Macaca mulatta: one gene and its partner. The protein of the gene in region 2 binds, or shares a complex with, the protein of the main gene of each other region. Links are inferred from orthologs where the notes say so. Each region holds a gene or a part of one and is shown on either strand. Other genes may lie near its edges.

Evidence for each region. The genes of interacting proteins can lie anywhere in the genome.
Region 1: the proteins of SFN (region 2) and GBP1 are in contact, whole or in part, in a cryo-EM structure (PDB 8Q4L), measured with the Homo sapiens proteins. The link is inferred for Macaca mulatta from reciprocal best matches to the Homo sapiens genes SFN and GBP1. Residues at the interface, in NP_006133.1 of Homo sapiens: Glu14, Gln15, Ala16, Glu17; in NP_002044.2 of Homo sapiens: Lys210, Gly211, Thr212, Ser213.

What each region holds. Positions count from the first base shown.
Region 1 is NC_133406.1:151,528,194-151,531,353, forward strand, and holds part of GBP1 (guanylate-binding protein 1), read left to right. Parts: intron 1-28; coding exon 29-309; intron 310-936; coding exon 937-1,149; intron 1,150-1,910; coding exon 1,911-2,013; intron 2,014-2,250; coding exon 2,251-2,444; intron 2,445-3,160.
Region 2 is NC_133406.1:214,122,253-214,125,244, reverse strand, and holds SFN (14-3-3 protein sigma), read left to right. Parts: upstream 1-1,617; 5' UTR 1,618-1,682; coding exon 1,683-2,429; 3' UTR 2,430-2,454; downstream 2,455-2,992. UniProt on the Homo sapiens protein: Adapter protein implicated in the regulation of a large spectrum of both general and specialized signaling pathways. Binds to a large number of partners, usually by recognition of a phosphoserine or phosphothreonine motif.

The sequences.
Region 1 (3,160 bases), about 63 Mb from region 2:
AACATTATCATTTGTTTTCCATATGCAGGTCTAGAGAGCCTGGTGCTGACCTATGTCAATGCCATCAGCAGTGGCGATCTGCCCTGCATGGAGAATGCAGTCCTGGCCTTGGCCCAGATAGAGAACTCAGCTGCAGTGCAAAAGGCTGTTGCCCACTACGAACAGCAGATGGGCCAGAAGGTGCAGCTGCCCACGGAAACCCTCCAGGAGCTGCTGGACCTGCACAGGGACAGTGAGAGAGAGGCCATTGAAGTCTTCATCAGGAGTTCCTTCAAAGATGTGGACCATCTATTTCAAAAAGAGTTAGCGGTAATTTTTGTCTCAAATTTACACGGTTTAGGATCATGGAAGCCAAAGTAGGAAAAGGAAAGAAAACGAGTATTTATTCTGATAGAAGTAATTCCTCCCAGCTTCCATAATGGTGAAAACAACAGATTTGTAATCGCATCAATCAGAAGCACCAATTGTATTATTACAGACCCAAAGTTCTAAAACATTTTTTCCTGAATAATTTTCCCTTTACTTATGCATATAACGGACAACCAGAGATTCTAATAAAATTACCTGCCCACTCTTCTCAGACTGATTTGATATTCTAGCCAAACACAAAGAAAATTTTTATCCTAATTATCTTGAACACGCTTCTGATCAACCACATTTATTCCATATGAAATCATTAGTCCAATATGCAAAAGCAGAGTTTTCCTCTAACGGTTGCCATAAAGCTGTCAATCTCAGCCCTGAATCTCACCTCCAAAAAGAAAGCGACTTCAGTAGAAAGTGGGGTCAGGAGGAAGAGTGTGCTCCTGCTGAGGAGTCTGTCAGTTTCTCCAGAGTCATTGACTTTTTATTTTCAGAAGTCTTTCCCAAAATTCTGAGGTCAAGCTCACATCCTTTTCCCTGTTACTCTTTTTACTTCCTATTTTTACATTAAAGGCCCAGCTAGAAAAAAAGCGGGATGACTTTTGTAAACAGAATCAGGAAGCATCATCAGGTCGTTGCTCAGCTTTACTTCAGGACATTTTCAGTCCTCTAGAAGAAGAAGTGAAGATGGGAATTTATTCGAAACCAGGGGGCTATCGTCTCTTTATTCAGAAGCTACAAGACCTGAAGAAAAAGTACCATGAGGAACCAAGGAAGGGGATACAGGTAACCAAGATTTATCTGTCAGTTATGGAAATCTGCTGACCTGCCTCCTACAAACACCAAGGTGACCAAGTCTCGTTGCACACAGGTGTGCTTTTTTGTTTGCATAACATTCATGCTTTTATTCAATAACAAATGCAAAGAGACTGTTATACCAAATATGTCCTAGGTGCTCATCAAACAGAGTACAGTCAATTAACTATTGAGTTATAAATTCAATTACCAGATGAAGCACAAAGTTATTATTGTCATCATTACAGCTGGGCTTTTCCTGTTGCAAGAGAGAGGAACCTAATGATGGCTGCTTAGACAAAAATAGTAATTCATTGATTTAGGCTGCAAACTGGCTTTACAGGACAGGTGGGTCTAAGGTTTCAAATCCCCACAGTTTCCTCCCTCCCATCCTCCCTCTATCTGAGTCACTCTGATATTTGCTTTCTCAAAGATGGCTTCATTCCCCAGCAGGCTCAGCCCATCTGGGACCACAGCATTACCAGTTCCAAACTTAGAGCCCTTAATCTAAACAGGACAGAGACCATCTTTTTCCCAGTATCTATATTAGCCTACTAAAAATGACTGCTAAGTAGGATGCTCTGATCAGCTTGCCAGGAGCATGTGCCTGTCACTCGGACAGGGAATTTGGTCACCAAGAACAACAGGGTCAAGAGGAAGAATTCCCAGAGGAAAGGATGGCAGGAAGACGAACAGGAACACCTGCTTCCAGCCATTTCCTACTGCTCACTCTGTGTTCTCTGGGTCCTAAGGCTGAAGAGATTCTGCAGACATACTTGAAATCCAAGGAGTCTATGACTGATGCAATTCTACAGACAGACCAGACTCTCACAGAGAAGGAAAAGGAGATTGAAGGTGAGGAGTGAGTTAAGAGATTAGATGGCCTCAAAAGCTCTAAAAATTGAAATAACTTGACTAGATAAACATGAGACGGTTTAACTAGAGCAGGATCCACAAAGGTGTGTCTTATTTGCTGAGGTCGTCTCTGAGTAGGGCATCTGCAGTCAACAACAACGACAGGTAAGTGTAGAAGGAAGAATGAGGCAACAAGATAACCCCACACAAATTTTTCTTCTTCCTTTTCCTCCACAGTGGAACGTGTGAAAGCTGAGTCTGCACAGGCTTCAGCAAAAATGTTGCAGGAAATGCAAAGAAAGAATGAGCAGATGATGGAACAGAAGGAGAGGAGTTATCAGGAACACTTGAAACAACTGACTGAGAAGATGGAGAGGGACAGGGCCCAGTTGCTGAAAGAGCAAGAGAGGACCCTCGCTCTTAAACTTCAGGTATCTAATTGCATCACCTCGAGGTTTCTGTTTTTCTGTTTTCTGTCCATTCTCCCTGATCACAAACTTAGTGTGGCAGGGAGAACATGAAGTCCAGGGGAAGGACCCTGCTTGCTTGCTTGTACTTTTCAATTCCTGTCTGTCCGGCCTGAACTGGCTACTGCCAAGTCTGGTCACTAAAAGATTTTTATTTGCAGTTGTGTAACATTCAGTCATTTATCAGTATGTCCTTCAATTCAAGGTAGCTATTATCTGCCAGGCATTATTAAAATATCTGTATCTTGGCCGGGCGCGGTGACTCACACCTGTAATCCCAGCACTTTGGGAGGCCGAGGCAGGCAGATCACGAGGTCAGGAGATCCAGACCATCCTGGCTAACATGGTGAAATCCCGTCTCTACTAAAAATAAAAAAAAAAATTAGCTGGGCGTGGTGGTGGGCACCTGTAGTCCCAGCTACTGGGGAGGCTGAGGCAGGAGAATGGCATGAACCCGGGAGGCAGACCTTGCAGTGAGCCGAGGATCGTGCCACTGCACTCCAGTCTGGGCAACAGAGCGAGCCTCCGTCTAAAAAAAGAGAAAAATCTGTATCTCTTGCTTAATACCATATGAAGAAAGAACTATATCCTTATTACTTAAAAGAAGAAACAAACATTCCAAAAAGAATAAATAATTAAGTTCACACAGCTAGTAAATACATTGGAGCTGTCTTCATCAC
Region 2 (2,992 bases):
GTACCCGAGGCCCATCTAAGCTTTGGCTAGGGGTGGGGCAGATAAGCAGGAATCCATCCCTGTAGGCTCAATGCCAACACCCTTTGGTGAAACTCCTGATGAAACTTGAGGCCAGGGCCCCAGCAAGCAGGGAAAGAAGGTTGGCAACAGAGGTCTCCATCTGAGGACTCTGCCAGGGGTCAGAGGTGGGGTAATGGTCAAAAGGAAGGAAGTGGCTCATGCCCATAATCCCAGCAGTTTGGGAGGCTGAGGCAGGAGAATTGCTTGAGCCCAGGAGTTTGAGACCTGCCTGGGCAATGTAGTGAGATCCTGTCTCTATTTAAAAAAAAAAAAAAAAAAAAAAGGAAGGAACAGGGAAACTTCTGAGAGACAGGCTGGGGGAGGCATCACGTAGCTGGGATTGCTGCCCCATAAAACAGAATGGTATGTGTCACTGCCACCTCCCTTTCTCAGTCCTCTCTCTCCCCAGGTTGCTAGCGTCCCCCCTGGGGGATCAAACTGGACTGCTTCCCAGCCTCAGACAGAGAGCAGTCTGAGTCAGGCAGGAAAGTGGGACAGCCGGGGAGCTGGACCCCACCCTCTGTGAACCCCACTGGTACCTGATGGCATGTGGCTTGGAGAGGGCAAGTGACCTGGTGTGGAGGGCCAGAGGGTAAATCCTCAAACAAGTGGCAACAGGCCACCAACTTGAAAGGGAAAATTGTGTAGTGATGGGAAATGTGTACAACAAACCTACTGGGTGACTAATTACAAAGGCTGGGCTGGAGCGTCAGAGGCTGCTTGTTAAACACTTCATTAAGTGGCACTCTGAAAGCTGCCACCTGCGCATTCTGGGAGCTCAGAGGGGACCCTGAGGGGGAGTGAGGCCTGAGGGATGGAACCATCTTCAGGTAGATTGAGAAAGAGCCTGGATCTCACTTCCAAACACAGCCTGGAGCTCATAGGTCAGAGACTTCAACGGGAGAAAAGCTAAAGGAAGCAGGGTGCAGAAAGGAGTTTCAGGGAAGTGGTGGCTATGTGACTTTGAGCAAATCTCACCCCTCTCTGAGACTTAGTGTTCCCATCTCTGTGGTCCTGTGTGTGTCACAGAGACACAGTGGGGATTAAATTCGATGGTGAATATGAAAGTGCTTGGGAAACTCTATGGCCCTACCTAAACATGAGTTATCCTCACCTGAATCAAGGGGAGAAGTTACCTGGCAGGATTGGGAACCCCATCCTCCTGAACCTTTATGGGCTCTGTCGAGGCAGAAGCAGCCAGGGGCTAAAGCCGCCCTTAGCCTCTGTAAGGGCGCTGTGAAGGAGGATCTGATTTGAGAAGCCAGGCAGTTTCCTGATGTGAGCAGCCATATGATGCCAGCCCCGAACAAGAGGGGGCAGCCTAGAGCCTGGAAAGGTGCCTGTGCAGGTGGGGCCCACGCCCAGATTTCTTCTGCTGACTGTTCTGATGACTCACCCCCACATCCCAGCCTTTTTACCTTTACTGCAGAGCCGGAAAGGGTGTGGGGAGGAGAGGAGACGGAGGCAGGTCTTGGGCCCTGGTCCCGCCCCCTGCTCCTCCCCACCCTTCTCTGGGCCTGGCCACCCAGCCAAAAGGCAGGCCAAGAGCAGGAGAGGCACAGAGTCCGGCATTGGTCCCAGGCAGCAGTTAGCCCGCCGCCCGCCTGTGTGTCCCCAGAGCCATGGAGAGAGCCAGTCTGATCCAGAAGGCCAAGCTGGCAGAGCAGGCCGAACGTTATGAGGACATGGCAGCCTTCATGAAGGGCGCCGTGGAGAAAGGTGAGGAGCTCTCCTGCGAAGAGCGAAACCTGCTCTCAGTAGCCTACAAGAATGTGGTGGGCGGCCAGAGGGCTGCCTGGAGGGTCCTGTCCAGTATTGAGCAGAAAAGCAACGAGGAGGGCTCGGAGGAGAAGGGCCCCGAGGTGCGTGAGTACCGGGAGAAGGTGGAGACTGAGCTCCGGGGCGTGTGCGACACCGTGCTGGGCCTGCTGGACAGCCATCTCATCAAGGAGGCTGGGGACGCGGAGAGCAGGGTCTTCTACCTGAAGATGAAGGGCGACTACTACCGCTACTTGGCCGAGGTGGCCACTGGTGACGACAAGAAGCGCATCATCGACTCAGCCCGGTCAGCCTACCAGGAGGCCATGGACATCAGCAAGAAGGAGATGCCGCCCACCAATCCCATCCGCCTGGGCCTGGCCCTGAACTTTTCCGTCTTCCACTACGAGATCGCCAACAGCCCCGAGGAGGCCATCTCGCTGGCCAAGACCACTTTCGATGAGGCCATGGCTGATCTGCACACCCTCAGCGAGGACTCCTACAAAGACAGCACCCTCATCATGCAGCTGCTGCGAGACAACCTGACGCTGTGGACGGCCGACAACGCCGGGGAAGAGGGGGGCGAGGCTCCCCAGGAGCCCCAGAGCTGAGTGTTGCCCACCACCGCCCCACCCTGCCCTGCCCCCTTCAGTCCCCCACCCTGCCGAGAGGACTAATATGGGGTGGGAGGCCCCACCCTTCTCCCCCAGGCGCTGTTCTTACTCCAAACGGCTCCGTGGAGAGGGACTGGCAGAGCTGAGGCCACCTGGGGCTGGGGATCCCACTCTTCTTGCAGCTGTTGAGCGCACCTAACCACTGGTCATGACCCCAGCACTGCTCTCCGCACCGCTTCCTCCCGACCCCAGGACCAGGCTACTTCTCCCCTCCCTCTTGCCTCACTCCTGCCCCTGCTGCCTCTGGTCGTAGGAATTGAGGAATGTCCCGCCTTGTGGCTGAGAACTGGACAGTGGCAGGGGCTGGAGATGGGTGTGTGTGTGTGCGCGCGCGCGCGCCAGTGCAAGACCGACATTGAAGGAAAGCATGTCTGCTGGGTGTGACCATGTTTCCTCTCAATAAAGTTCCCCTGTGACACTCCTCCTGTCTCTCTCCAGTTCTTGGCGATGGGTTGGGAGTGGAACTGGAATCTGATTTAGAGATCCTGACTTTCGACCTC